Linked DNA regions of Bombyx mori. The protein of the gene in region 2 binds, or shares a complex with, the protein of the main gene of each other region. Links are inferred from orthologs where the notes say so. Each region holds a gene or a part of one and is shown on either strand. Other genes may lie near its edges.

Evidence for each region.
Region 1: WASH complex subunit 5 (region 2) and WASH complex subunit 4 share a complex: the UniProt entries of both Homo sapiens proteins name them as parts of the WASH core complex. The link is inferred for Bombyx mori from reciprocal best matches to the Homo sapiens genes WASHC5 and WASHC4.
Region 3: WASH complex subunit 5 (region 2) and WASH complex subunit 1 share a complex: the UniProt entries of both Homo sapiens proteins name them as parts of the WASH core complex. The link is inferred for Bombyx mori from reciprocal best matches to the Homo sapiens genes WASHC5 and WASHC1.
Region 4: WASH complex subunit 5 (region 2) and WASH complex subunit 3 share a complex: the UniProt entries of both Homo sapiens proteins name them as parts of the WASH core complex. The link is inferred for Bombyx mori from reciprocal best matches to the Homo sapiens genes WASHC5 and WASHC3.

What each region holds. Positions count from the first base shown.
Region 1 is NC_085118.1:10,736,412-10,739,982, forward strand, and holds part of WASH complex subunit 4, read right to left. Parts: coding exon 3,020-3,571; intron 2,497-3,019; coding exon 2,290-2,496; 3' UTR 1-2,289. UniProt on the Homo sapiens protein: Acts as a component of the WASH core complex that functions as a nucleation-promoting factor (NPF) at the surface of endosomes, where it recruits and activates the Arp2/3 complex to induce actin polymerization, playing a key role in the fission of tubules that serve as transport intermediates during endosome sorting.
Region 2 is NC_085117.1:11,760,642-11,764,736, reverse strand, and holds the start of WASH complex subunit 5, read right to left. Parts: upstream 2,842-4,095; 5' UTR 2,760-2,841; coding exon 2,638-2,759; intron 1,655-2,637; exon of another isoform or gene 1,649-1,654; coding exon 1,546-1,648; intron 1,177-1,545; coding exon 985-1,176; intron 1-984. UniProt on the Homo sapiens protein: Acts as a component of the WASH core complex that functions as a nucleation-promoting factor (NPF) at the surface of endosomes, where it recruits and activates the Arp2/3 complex to induce actin polymerization, playing a key role in the fission of tubules that serve as transport intermediates during endosome sorting.
Region 3 is NC_085123.1:3,001,239-3,004,809, reverse strand, and holds part of WASH complex subunit 1, read left to right. Parts: exon of another isoform or gene 1-1,350; intron 1,351-1,428; 5' UTR 1,429-1,465; coding exon 1,466-1,840; intron 1,841-1,922; coding exon 1,923-2,222; intron 2,223-2,305; coding exon 2,306-2,643; intron 2,644-3,571. UniProt on the Homo sapiens protein: Acts as a component of the WASH core complex that functions as a nucleation-promoting factor (NPF) at the surface of endosomes, where it recruits and activates the Arp2/3 complex to induce actin polymerization, playing a key role in the fission of tubules that serve as transport intermediates during endosome sorting.
Region 4 is NC_085118.1:943,094-946,873, forward strand, and holds WASH complex subunit 3, read left to right. Parts: upstream 1-1,468; 5' UTR 1,469-1,617; exon of another isoform or gene 1,618-1,664; intron 1,665-1,751; 5' UTR 1,752-1,824; coding exon 1,825-1,881; intron 1,882-2,038; coding exon 2,039-2,203; intron 2,204-2,586; coding exon 2,587-2,859; 3' UTR 2,860-3,232; downstream 3,233-3,780. Other genes in the region: pre-mRNA-splicing factor SPF27, read right to left, coding at 234-308. UniProt on the Homo sapiens protein: Acts as a component of the WASH core complex that functions as a nucleation-promoting factor (NPF) at the surface of endosomes, where it recruits and activates the Arp2/3 complex to induce actin polymerization, playing a key role in the fission of tubules that serve as transport intermediates during endosome sorting.

The DNA.
Region 1 (3,571 bases), on a different chromosome or scaffold from region 2:
GGCTTTTCTTTATCAAGACGACCTTTGCACTCTTCCCATTCACGCAGCGTCTTCTGTTCGATTTTACGACTCATCATGTGGATGAGAAGAGTGTCCCAATGATCAGTCGGTTCGCCTAGCGACTCTAAAGCTCTCAGGCTTTTATTCAGCTGATCTATGAAACGTCTTAAATTAAACGAAGATTCACTCTTTATTGCGTCTATATTAAATAAATTATTAACATGTGTTTGAATTAATAGGCGCTTATTATCGTACCTCTCACATAACAGCTTCCACGCCACAGAATAGTTGCTGGCAGAGAACTGAATCTCCTGAAGTAGTACAGCAGCAGAGCCTTCTAGCGAGGCCCTGAGGTAGTGGAATTTATTAATTTCTCCTATCGCCTCGTTCGAATGTATAAGACTACTGAAGGTGTCATGGAATTCCAACCAGTTGTTATATGAACCATTAAATTTGGGTAGGTTAATGGTAGGTAATTTAACCAGGTGATGATTGCTCACATGAGAACAACTCTCAAAACTATGCGCATCGGTTTGTAACAATTTAGAATTACGAGAAAGAATCTCCTGAGCCTGTGAAAGGGATTTGTAATAAATCGATTCGAAATCTTCTCTCTCTGTGCTTTGCGAGCTGAAATCGTCAGCGAGGCATTCTATTTTAGTTTGTACTACGTCATATTGTTCAAATAATAATTCGATCTTACCAATTCTTAATTGCAATTCATTTACTTGTTGCTGATTCAACGTACCGCTCAATTCCTCGATGTACTTTCGGAATGTAGTCAATCGGCCTTTTAGACTAGCTCGTTTTTTAACTAGCTCTTTTTGATCTTTCTCACTCATTTTGGAAGTATTTGGGCAGAAGCGGGCTAGTTAATCTGGCATTGATAGAAGTTATAATTGAAAAATTGAGCTATAATGACAACTAAAATGAACTATACAGTCACACTTATCTACGCACCTATAATTAATAATTAAATAATAATTTTACAAGTGTGAGAGACATAGACTATTACCAAAAAAATGCCAACAAAAACACATTAAACAAACCACATAGTTAACCCAGCTTGTAATATGATAAATATAAATAATCTAAACAAAAAACAGAGTAATGGGTTACACATCACTAAATTATGTCCTGAATATCAAACTTTGATCACTTCCCTTATTTCCTGGGTATCTCGGCTCGATGGACCATGTAGCGGACGGTTTCTTATTTAGATATTTATATTTGTGAGGAGGAAGATTTTTACAATAAAATAAAATTATGATGCGACTTTCATGGCTGACAGTTTATTCCATAATGACTTTAGAAACAAAATTTAAAAATTATAAAAATATAAATGACAGCTCTGTTGCTTTGCAACTAAACTTTTTACTGCGGTGCCAAACACTGTTCGAAATATAACAAGTAGGTCGCAATAAATTGATAAAATATAATTATTTTACAATTCAGATATATTAGATTAATATTTGCGGTATGTGACAAAAAACAATCTAAAAGCATTTAAAGATGATCATTATAAAATGTGAGTGCAATACTTTTTGGAATTTCTTTATATATTTTGAAATTTTGCTATTGTAACGTGATGACGTAAACCATAAATGACGCACCACAGTGGTCCATGTATTAAACACCTCCTTCTACTCTACAATTACAGTGTAAGATAATAATATCTCATTAGAGTTTACCTCATGACATTACAAATATATCGGTTCAAAGGGTGGGGCAGCCGTTGTAACTATACTGAGACCTTAGAACTTATATCTCGAGGTGGGTGGCGCATTTACGTTGTAGATGTCCATGGGCTCCAGTAACCACTTAACATCAGGTGGGCTGTGAGCTCGTCCATCCAACAAAGCAATAAATATATATATATAGAAATTAGAATAGCCTGAACGAAAGGGGTAACAGAAATCGTTGAGTCACTGTTACTTAATTAAATTATTATTTATTAACCGAAAATACCTTCAAGAAATAATGTTTTTTTTGGTCCTTATTAAACTCAATATGTTATTATATTAGATAAATATTTCCGTAGCTTTTTTTATAAGAGTTCATTTGTTGATTTTTAAATTGAACAAGAATGACAACACTTTTCAATCAAAATCAGCAACATTTGTTTGAATCCCTATTGTCAAGATGGTGCAGCGTGGATCTCCAAACGAACGCTTCAGGTAAGCCGTCTCAGCTATAGTGCTTACGATTTCGTCCGGACTTAACCCAGCATATGCCTATTAATAGTTTAAATAGAGTAGACTTCAACACTCATCGCCGACTTTAAATAATTTAACGAAAAAATATTCTGGCACTTGTAAGACTGTAATAGAGGAGTTTGTACTCTTCTTCTAATGTTTTTATTTTCTTCTCGGTCAATGCTAAGGCTTGTTGTAATTGAATGGTTCCTTTGTTTTTCTGTTCTTCTAGTAACTTTCTTTCGTCATCAATGTGTTTCCATACTGATTCAAACCAGTGTAGAGATTCAAAATTAGAATCCTAAAAAAAATAGGTTCAATATTAATATGTACTTGAGAAGGAAAACTATTTTTTTTTGTTATGAAAGACTGACAATCCTTTTGCACCCACGATGGAAAGTGATTTCGGTCTGATCCATATTATACTGAAGCGGTAACAATTGTTTTTGTCTCAGATTTGTTTCTAGCAGTGCTTTCCTAAATCGGAATTGCAACCCGCCGAGAAACTCAGTGTTCGATTTGTGTCTGTGGGCTACATTGCATATGAACTCTTCTCATCGAGAAAACCTCGTGCTAGCTCACATTATGTCATTCTCATTAATAATTATTAATGTTAATTACATAGAGTGATAAATTTAGCGCGCTTAGTTTTGCGATTTAGATTTACATTAGAAAATTTTAATTCTTTTAATTTCTTTTACATAGACAAATGTGTTGTAACATAAGGTAAGGTTGGTATATATGGATGAATCGAATGGGGACATGAAGAGTGATCGTCATGAGTGTTGCTATAACTCATAAGCAGATGAAATTGTTAACATTACCTGATCTAGTAATTTCAGTATGTAAGCAATTCCCATAGCAAAACCATCATCAGTAAAAGCAGCTCCTATTTTATTCTTTTTCGACATTTTATCTTTCGACAAGATTAGATGTTCCACAAAATTAAGTGTCAATGGAGGAACAATAATATAAAAATTCTTCAAATGAACATTCTTAGGATTTCGGAAAACGGGTGAGAACACGTCTACCAGCAGCTTGAAATATTCAGTTCCTTGAATAAAGTTGGAAATAAGGTCGTTTGTGTTCTGATCTAGAATTTCCGCTGATTGAACAGTCTGGGGCCCAAGAGCCTCTTTTTGGCATAGTTCTTTGAAATTAACAACATCTTCCAGATTTGGCAGGAAAACAGTCGCATCCGAACAGCAATGTCGGCCGCCTGACCTAATCATCCTAACATATCCCATGGCGTTTCCAATTTGACTAATAAGATCTCGAAACAGATCTAAGTAACTCTGTCCATCCTCTGAAAGTCCCAACACCTTTATACCCTTGTTAAATCTTTCTGCATTTTTAAATGGATACATGTAGCTGTA
Region 2 (4,095 bases):
TTAGATGTGTGGACGAGTTCACAGCCCACCAGGTGTTAAGTGGTTACTGGAGCCCATAGACATCTACAACATAAATGCGCCACACACCTTGAGATACAAGTTCCAAGGTCTTAGTATAGTTACAACGGCTGCCCCACCCTTCAAACCGAAACGCATTACTGCTTCACGGCAGAAATAGGCGGGGCGGTTGTACCTACCCGTGCGGACTCACAAGAGGTCCTACCACCAGTAATTACGCAAATTATAATTTTGCGGGTTTCATTTTTATTACACGATGTTATTCCTTCACCGTGGAAGTCAATCGTGAACATTTGTCAAGTACGTATTTCATTAGAAAAATTGGTACCCGCCTGCGGGATTCGAACACCGGTGCATCGCTAGATACGAATGCACCGGACGTCTTATACTTTAGGCCACGACGACTTCAAAACCTCCTCGTGGTCAACACACGCGAAATAAATAAATGTTTACGTAGTATATCTTTATTCAGAGGTCCGAATGTACACAAGATACAGCTTTCATTTGGTTTCTGAAAGCATACTGGGAAAGCAGAAGAAAAAATTTTGGATTTATTTCAGATTCAGGCGTCAATGTATGCTAACAAAGCTTAAACATATGTTTGCTTGAAAATTTGATCCTTGAAGTTATTTTGTTACATGAGTTACACAATTGTCTTCAGGAACATAAGTTGATTCTAAAATCCACCGCTTAGGGTCTATTCTGGTGCTTGTGTGCTATGCCACATCACTCAGTCACCCTTAAAATTGGTGTTATGCATTTTTTATTTCCATATTTTGCAAGATGGATGGATGGAGAGTTAGAAGGTAGGCCAAATGTCAATAAATAAAGGAATTGACAATCTGTTTAAATATATTAAATCCCAGTTCATTAAATGAGGCCAGTTCAAAAACAGATGAGATTGATTTGTGTAGTTTTGTGTTTAAGAACCACATACTTTATATCAAAACTAATAATATGACTTACCAATAGTTGTTTTCCTTCAATGTCTTTGATAACAGTTTCCATGTTTTGTTGGATGAACGCTTCATCTTGCAATTGATCTATGAATACATTCAGATCAATAATATATTGATATATGTTTTCAAATAGAAAATAAAAACGTGTAATTATTTCCAGATAGTTTTCCTTTAAATCATCATCTAAATCTTGCAGTTTCTGAAAACAGTATCTTTCAGCAAGGAAATAATTTAACAATTTAACAATTATCCTTAACTTATTACGTTTACTTTAAATAAAAATAGTCAATTGCTACTACCTGATCACATTTTTACTTATTAACAGTACGATTCTGCTTAATGCTGGGCATATGTTTCATTAAAGTAGAGCTTAGAGAAGCCTAATGCTATGTGGAATTTCAGGGAATTCCACAATTCAAATAAATGAGTGTTACTCAAACCTAAAAAGGGTTAAGCAGGCTCTTATTGTATATTTGATTAAAAATAGTACATTGAGCCTCACACAAAGGACAAAAGTCTGCTTTTTTATCTTGAAAAATATATAATGATTTCTTTGAATAATACTTACAGAATTCACATTAATCTTAGCTTCATGGGCATCAGATATTCTAAAATAACTGAAATCCAATATCACATCTTGGTACTTTTGTTGTATTTCTCTACTTTCCAATCTGTAATAGCCAGGGAAAGAAATGGTTTCAAAACAAAGAAACATTTTAAATAAGTCTTATAAATGAGTCGTCTATTATCAAAGGTAGCAATCTGTGCATTTGGACAAAAAAATGTTATTGATATGTCAATACAGATTGATTTGAATATAATCGTCTCCTTCAAAGAATACGGTTCAAAACCTGCATTAAATAAAGGTTAATACTTAACCTGTTATTTATCTAAGATGTCGTTCAGAAGAGTTTTGTGACTGCCAATAGAATACAAAGTCAATAATTCGTTTTTCTGATTTACCAATAATTGTCCAAAAGTCACATTGCCGGCTTTGATAATAGTCGACTCAAATATTATATAAAGGGGTGAAAGGCTTATTTGTTTAAGCGACATCTTTGAAATTTTATAGGAGAGCTATTTGAGTTTATTTAATGCAGGTTTTGAACCATATTCTTTGAAGGAGACGATTATATTCAAATCAATCTGTATTGATATATCAATAACATTTTTTTGTCCAAATGCACAGATTGCCACCTTTGATAATAGACGACTCATTTATAGTTTGAAATTTGGAAAAAACATCAAGTAAAAAAACTTCTTCAGATATTTGAATGTTGTAAACATAATTGAAGTTTGTTTAAAAATATTGAATTGTTATAAGATAAAAATCGCGTATAGCCTACCACCCCTCGATATATAACATTACATTACATGTGTAGATTGCAAGATTCCATTGCCTAATAAATTCATTTTGAAAATAGGCCTAATCTTTGAACAATTTGATAGACAACGACAATTATTTTAACACAAGTATTACGTACCTACCAATTACTGGTGTTAAGACGAGTAGGAATCACCATCCTACCTATATGTTATTATGCCATAAAGCAACTGTGTGTTTCGTATTGAATAGAGAAACGGTCGTTCTACTATATATGGGCCACGAGCTCATCAAGGAATCTCTACATTATTAATAATAAACTATTAAAATACTCACAAGTAAACTTTTGGATTATGGTCTTTGAGTCTAAGTATTTCCGCAATTATAGCATTGCCATGAGAAATTAATTTGAGAAGGTTTTGAGAACAAAGGTTGTCTTCGGACATAAACAGTTTCATAATTTTAATGTAGCTACCGTATTTGATAAACACAATCACAAGAATTATTCTATACCTACCTACCTTACATACCTTTATTTTTCCAATTGGAAAGGCAAAGGTATCATACCATCCAGCCTAATCTTTTATATATATTTTTTATCTGAAAAAATATTTTATGAAATGAACTTGATAAATATGAAACATGGTATGAAATGAAATGAAATGATATGAGATGAAATATACTCTCAGTAAAATGGTGGTTATTTACTGAGACTTTTTAAGTGGACTTTTTGGAGGATCCCAAGAAGTTACGTTCAGCGGGGCTCACTAAATTTGGCCCGCCTTTTTTTGATTTTCGGTTTATTTTTATTTTTAATTATTTGTTCGTCGTTTGTTCGTTAATGTTCAAATGCAAAAATTGTTTGTTCGTCTTTTATTTATTTATAATTAATTAAACAAATGATCACCCTTAAGTTGCCACCTCTTACTAGATATCTTTATTTTTATCGCTCAGATTAATTAATTTTGATAAGTTATCGTTTGTTCGATGACTATTGGTGATTGTTCGTTCATAAAAATAATTAAATTCCCAATTATTAATTATTTTATATCTAATAAGCAAACCATCACCTCACGCCTACAATGCGCATGTGCCGGTTTTGTCAGTCAGCTGGCAATGGCCGTGTTTACTAGCGTTTTGTTAACAAGTGCGTTTATACTGCTTAATTATTTCATAAGTAGATCGAAAAAATAATGATAACTTCAACAATACTTCAACAAAAAAATGTCAGTGAAGACGGCCAACTAGTCGTTAAAGTACGATTAGCGCGGGTTAAATAAATTGTTGTGTTACAGTGTTGTTTCAATTAAAAATCAACATGTCATTAATAAACTATTAATTTGTACAGTAGTTGAATTAGGCTTTGCTAATTTTGTGGAAGATCTGTTAAAACTGGGTACTAGACTAATAGTCCCAACAAAAAAAACCCTAATTCTGATTATCCTAGTAAGGATATCGGGTCTGTCTGCTTAAAATAATTTTGTGGTCGACGAAGTGAATGCGACATTATGATATGATGCTGTTATGACAGGCTGCTTCTGCGAAAATACGACTTCGAGAATTGGGATTTAGTTTAAATATGTCATCACTATTACTCTATCAATATTTTTTTCTTTCACATCTGTACGCCGCTCTCATATTTTTTAATTTCTTTAAATTGTCACGTTCTTTTCAAATTTTTAGTAACCTTTTGTAAGCATTGTAAATGTTTATTTTTGAGCATCTCAGCTGCTATACTACTTGTGAGATGTATCCCACAAACATCGAAAATCGTTGTATAGTTAGTTTGGCAAC
Region 3 (3,571 bases), on a different chromosome or scaffold from region 2:
GTTTTGTAAATTGTACAAGCAAAGAACATGTGACACTAACTCTTATTTTAATGGGAATATTTATGATAATTGGTATTATGTATGGTTTTATTAAATGTTACAAGAAATACCGAAAAATGGAAGATATTAAACCAGTTTTACCAAGTGGACTAGGAGTCCCCGAAAAGGATATTTCGAAATATGCTATTGGTGGTTGGAATCCTACAAACAAGGATGAGAAACCATCTTCAGACGAAATGTTGCTATTACCAAATAGTAGAACCACTGTATCTTCAGAATTGAAACAGAAAGAAAACAATAACAGTGCTTCTAGTGATCACACTGATAGTACAGCTTTATCAGATACATCACATGGGCCTGTAGAAAGACAAATCTCCTCATCTGATGATGGATCTAATTCATCACTACATCTTGAAGTAGAACCTACGAGAACAGCTGACAGTAACATCGATGGCGAATCATGCAATTCCGAAACTGAAACATCACAAATACCGTCACCATTCTTTAATGATAATACTTTCAAGAAAAATCCATGTGGCTATGTGCAACAATCTGTAGTGAGTCCTAATACAGGATATGTTCAAAGTGTTCAAGCAGGCGTTACAAACCCACCACAACCCTCATCACTCAGTGCCAGCTCTAGTTATGTAATGGCAGCTCTGTCTCCACCTATATTTACGACACGTGTTGCTCAACCTTGCGTAACGAGTTCACAATCAGCAGGAGGCTATGTGCACCCTGAAGGTGCTCAAACTATATCAGCAATGAATTTCCCGAAATTGGGGCAGACAACGAACAAACTGTTTGGTCCTGAAAGCTTGCCAACAATGCAAACCTTGCCACCAGCGAAACACACTGCAGACAGCAGCTACATTCAACTGCAATCTCTAGATTCCTTGCCCAGACACAAACATCCTGCCCGAAGTACAGTGCCATTAAAGACGCCAGCGTCTACCGGCTACGTCCGCCAAGGTGACGCTGTTATTAATAAGCACCTGAATAATATGCTATCAGGTGTTCATTGTGGCGAAGAATCGGCTATTTTGGATCCTGCAATGTCGCCTGACGCGTACTGCAGATTTTCATGGAGTACCGATCCAGCCAATGACAACATTCATTCGTTACTCGCCGATTCGCCTAGATTAAATTCATCGAAAAACGGAGTCAATCATTAGTGATATATATATATATTTAATTTAGTAACCAAGATGTAAATAATTGACTTTAGGAGCTTTATAACGTGCTATAAAAATTGGACATAATATTATTTTACATTTGGGAATGAATGTGTCTAGTGATAATTCTTGTGCCTTATTAATTTATTTTAGGTGATCATAGGAAGCTTTATAGGTAAGAGTCATATGTTTAAAAACAGGAGAATTTAAAGCGGTTTTAACAGAATCTTATGGACTAATTGGTTTGTTACAGATCTTGATATAAAGTATTCGCTAAACAAAGATTAATTATGGAAGGTATTTACAAAATTAATCTTGTGCCAAGCGACTTGAGCACTGAAGAAGCCATCCTTCAGATTGCTGACACTATTGATAATCTCAATGGGATAGTGGAAGACGTGTTCTCTCGCTTAACGCGGCGAATCAAGCAGAATGTAGATAAAACCGCAAAATTGAATGAACGCATCGAAAACTCTAGGCTTAAAGTTGAAAAACTGACTGGAATGCAGAGAGCCATCAAAGTGTTCTCGAGTGCAAAGTACCCGTCGTCAATAACGCACGAGCATTATCGATCCGTCTTTGATTTGGAAGGCTATCAACATGTGCCTAAAAATGTTAAACTGAGTGCTAAAACTCGGGGGCCATCTGATGATAAAAGAATACAGGTAAGAACGCTTGTCTTTGTCGAAATAATGTTCGTTCAAAATTTCGAGTCATAATTGTTATTGTCATTAATTGATCTCGTAGGAGAAGCTACACTTCTATCATGTTAAAGTTGCGGAACCTAATTCACTCAAGCCCGATGAAGATTTTAGTTTGAACGCTGTTATTGATAACCTGGAAACCATCGGTGAACTTTTAGTATTTAACACCGATGAAAGCCCTTACTTCGGTGTTACCTCTAAAACACCAACCTACAAACCGGTCATCAAGAAATCGAATATTGAAAATAAGAGTCTAATAGAAGCGGCACCTTCGTCTATAATGAAGAAAGACGTCTTGAAGCGCGAAGTAGACGAATACATGTACGCACCTGGGATGGGAATGGTAAGTGAAAGTAGCAAATGTTATTCGGTTGATGGATGCTATGACAAATCGGAGCGTTTTATAACACTATAAAAATTAAACAGGTACCCGAAATGGAGATGCCGTTGGATTTACCGCATCTTCCAGGAATCGCTGAGGACATACAATATACTATCGCGACTGAAGGGTCTATAGCCCCGTCTGTCGTGACGTCACCGGTCACGCCGATCATCGCCATTCCTGAGGTGGAATTACCAGAGTTGCCCGATCTAAAGGAACTACCTGACGTGAAACCAGAGCCCGTGGCTATACCAGATATACCGGACGCTCCTCCGTCACCGGTTCCTGTTAGTGTGCAAGCGTTGCCACCACCGCCGCCCCCGCCACCGCCTCCGCCCCCGCCGCCGCCTATGAAGGAAGTAGAGCTCACACCATCAAAACGGTAAGATTTCTCATATTTGATTAATTTAATCTAGGACAAAAGAACACTTTTGCATACAAATTTCGAGTATTGATGAGGATAATCGTGTACATACTTACCAAACTTATTTTATTTGTTGCGCAACTTTAGGAAATGTTCGACCTCTTTCAAAGTTTTTGCATGATATTGCGGCCCTTCATAAAACTAAAAGCGGGGGCTACAGGACTCTCAGGTTGAGAAACAGTGTACAAGACAATTCTAAAGCAATAAAAACCGTGGAAGCGCAACGTTTTTTGCGTTATTTTACCGTTGATGCTAACAAACCGTGTTGTATTTTAACCTTTGACGGGCCACCGTAATTGTATTAATTACTTACATACACGCGCCATACAACGGATCGATCCATTGAAACTGTGTACACAGTAAACACGACAAAAACATTAAGATTAATTTGAATGTCCATATATTTATCTCTCTCTCTCCTTGACCTTTCGGTCATTTGTGTGAAATCTGATTGGTTATATCATTAATAACAATATTTCTAAAAACTACAAAATTTGACCATGTGTATTATTATAAATCCTGTGATTATTTTTATATAACTAATGAATGCCAATAAAGTTAAACAATCCCAGGTCCAATTTTCCAAGTAAGTAATCGGTTTGCAGTTGGGTTATATTACCTATTTAACGCGGCGGGCTTCGTTGTGTGAGTCTTTTTAAGTCAACCCTACATACGGCCATGAGCTTCTCAAGTTTGCCACTTCTTCTTAGCACTGTGCTCAAAGTCCTTTAGTACCCCAAAGATGGTAGCGTACAAAATAACCTTAGTACGATGAGCCAAGGAATGTTCCGTATTTTTTCTTCAGAATCGTATCTCGAAGGCGCTAATGCAGACCATGTCTGCTTTCTTAATGATCCATGTCTCACCGCCATACAGGAATATTAAG
Region 4 (3,780 bases), on a different chromosome or scaffold from region 2:
TTCAAGAAACAACGAAAAAAAAACATTTTTATATAAATCTCTCAGCGGTGACTGCGCATTTTGAAGCAGACGAGAATATAACCCACATTTGTGAAGTGTGGTCGTTCAGACCAGCAATACCAAAATGATTATTGAATTTCTTTCTCTAGATGTCAAAGCTAAAGCGATATGAATCTTTGTTGTAAAGGAAATGGTCCAAGAATTAAAAAAAGTAAGGTTATCATAATACTTACAGCTTCTCTTACTCCAGGATCGTCATATCCTTGGTCTATATATGGTAATGCATCTACGACAACTTCTCCTGCCATTTTCTACAAAATTTATAACTCCCTTTACTACGAATGGGTACTGTGATTTATCACTTTATATTAAAGTTTTAACGCTGTTCTTTGTTTATTTGATTTTAGTTGTGTCACTTGTGTGACATTCTTCGTTTGAGCTAGTTTTAAGCCTAAAATGAACAGGCAAAAGAAATATAGTCCATATAGCTAAATCTTTTGAATTCCTCGATATTCAATAAATTGATATTAAATTAATATTATATTATAAAATGGAATTTAATGAAAGAAGAACACATCGAGTAGATATTAGATGAGTTGATAATGAAACAATGGTGCTTACTGAGAGATCAACGAACTTATTTTGAAAATATTCTCGAGTGGCAGCCACACACGACGCAGCTTAGATAGACTTTCGACGAGGTGAACTGACGTCCTACTGAAAGTCGCAGGAATCTAATAAATACGGTCGCTGCACGTCTAGGAGTGGATGATTTGTGTGAACACGTCCAATGTTTGTTTGATTTTTTAAAACTTGTGCCATTTCACATGTATTCAGTGATTAAAAAGCTTTCATTACTACAAAATTAGACATTTTATTACAGATACATTCGCGAAGCAGTTGCCCTTAGCTGTTAGATCTCCTACGGAGTCGTGGCCAGGTCAGGCCTTCGGTACTTTGGAGGATTGGCTTGTGCGGCTTTTCGAAGCCTGCCTTGAGCCCGGACGGAAATCGGACAGATTCATCCTTCTGAGGAAAGAGGAGCTCCTCTAGGAGTCATCCGTGGTGTACCACCACATCGTGTTGCTGGACGAAACTAGAAAATTGTTGGAGCAAGTCGTGGATGCGTCATCTGCCCCATCCCCAGGACGGGTTCCAATCGGTCAGCCGAACAGTACGGCTTCAGAAAGGGCCGGTCTACCATCGACGCAATCATGCGTGTGTGTACCCTCTTTGATGAGACTGTTGCCCGGGGCGAGGTGGCAGTTTCCTTAAAGTCTCAGTAAATAACCATCATTTTACTTAGATTTCACGCCAATTGATTATTGTTTCAAATTAATCAACTCTATTTCATTTTACTTCATATTATCATTTTTCATAAAATACAATGATAACTTAGGCTGTATCGTATGATACTTTTGCCTTTCCAGTTGGAAAAATAGAACTACTACAAATATTGACAGTGGACAGTAGCACTATTGTCAAAGAATAGTGTTATATTGATAAATGTAAATTAATGATAATAATGTCAGACTTAGGTGGTGGTACCGTACCTACTGTACCTACTGAAATATTCCTTTTAATTTGCTTACATACTCTTTTAACGTAAATAAATAGGTACGACTGTCACGGAAGGAAAAAGATTGTTATTGTAAAATAATTAGGTGCTTTTTATATTAAACTTAGTGTAATTAAAACTCGTGGACCTATTAGTCAATGTATTGAAATGTAATTCAATTTGGTTTTTTCAGTAGAACAAAACAAATTCAAGCTTCCAAACCACAAGACAAATTTCTTTTTCGTCTTGTTTATATTCTACTGAAAATGACCATCCAAGAAGATTTAACTCAATCCGAATCCCCACAAACGGATTTAACTAAGGTTTTAAATTTGGAATTATTATTATTTGTTGTAAAATTTAATGCAGTACAAACTTCACGGCCTTGATTATCTTTATAAACTTCCTAATTCTAGAAAACACAATATTTTTTTATAAATGAGAATAATTTATTTTTAATATTTAAAAAACAAATTGCAGGTTGCGGCATTACATCAAAAACGTACATTGGCATTTGTAAATCATTTCCTAACAATAAATGTACAATTTCTGAATAACTTTATGACGAATTGCGAGCAGAAACTGATGCAGTTTGAGAGAAAATTAGAAAAAGTTAATGCTGCCATGGTTTTGTTAGAATCTAAGGTGATTATATTTTTATAAATTATTGTATGTAAACAAAAACGGATATCTAAAATGTTTTTATTTTCTATCATTAGTCATAATAAACCATTTCTGCAAGACCTTCTCTGGAAAGCTGTTGATTGATCTGATAAAGTAAGAGCAGCCTATTGATATATTTGCAATGCATAAAGCTTCAATTGAATTAAAAAAAAAACGGTCTCCTACCAGATTAGAAATTAGACTACTACTAATTTTAAGATATGGCATCATTGCATTTCACCATAATCCTTATTCAGGTTGTGTTTATGCCATTTCTTTAATTGCCCATGTGCCTCAAAAACTTCATTTTAATTGATAGCATACATCAAACCGATACATAAATAGATAAAACTTATTGATTTCAGTTATCTTCAATACCAGAATTAGACATTCCTAAGCAGACAAATACAAGTAATGTTACAGAGACTGAATCTACTGAAAGTCAAAATGAAACAGAACTCCAAGAAGAAAATCTAGAAAGAAAACTAGAAGACCAAGCCCCAGCAGAAATGAAAACTAAACCTGAATATGATAAATTTGTTAAAATGGTTCAAGTAGGAGTGCCATTGCAGGCAGTGAAACTCAAAGTCTCGTTAGAAGGTCTCGATCCTGAAATACTGGAGCAATTAATAAAATAAAATAATATTTTATTATTTACATTATTGTGTTGTTAGCATAGTATGATCAAATAACCATAGTGTGTAAACCATAGTTTACTTTTATAGAACAAACAATAGAACAGTGTATTCTGTGATACCTCTAATCTAATGGGATCATAAGTGTAAAATTAATAAAATAAAATAATATTTTTTTTTTGTTTAATTGTAATCAACGTATAGTTTAGAAAATATTATCTTTTATCTATAAAAATATCATTCTAATTGTTAAAATTGTAATGTTTTTGTTCTTATCGTTTTAAATAATGTAATAGGCTCAAATATTTAAGTAGCATTCCTTAATATTTTTATGAAATGTTGAAAATGTTGTTTTTAATAAAGGATTTTATAATCATGCAAGATTATTGATCACATAGAGGTGGACCTAGAAAAAAATCATTAAATACTTCTGAAAGTTGATATATGCTTACTATTTTAATTAATTTATTTTGTGAAACATGTTGTATGCGATTTATTCCTTTTTTTGCAAATAAATAGTATTCTTATAGGGGTAGTAGGTGTATTGATTTATGAGAGATTTATTTGACGTAAAATTGGCCATGTCAGTTAGATTGTGTACAATCATGCTACAGAGATACTATTATATTATATTCTAGTAACAATAATAGGCACCTATAGGCATCAAATGTTGTACCATCCTAAGTAATTGCAGAAATAGTTCTCTGCCAGCACCCTGATAATAAATAAAAATAAGGCTGGCCATACCATTAATATTTTTATGAGACATATTAATTAATGCTAAGCATGATTTTTTTATTCCTACTCATAGAAGTTATAGTTATAGTATTACCATACGATGTGGATGGTAATAAAGTATAGGTGCAATAAATGGGAGGTTTTAAGGATGCATCTGGTCCAAAGTGGTGACCTTGATTACATATT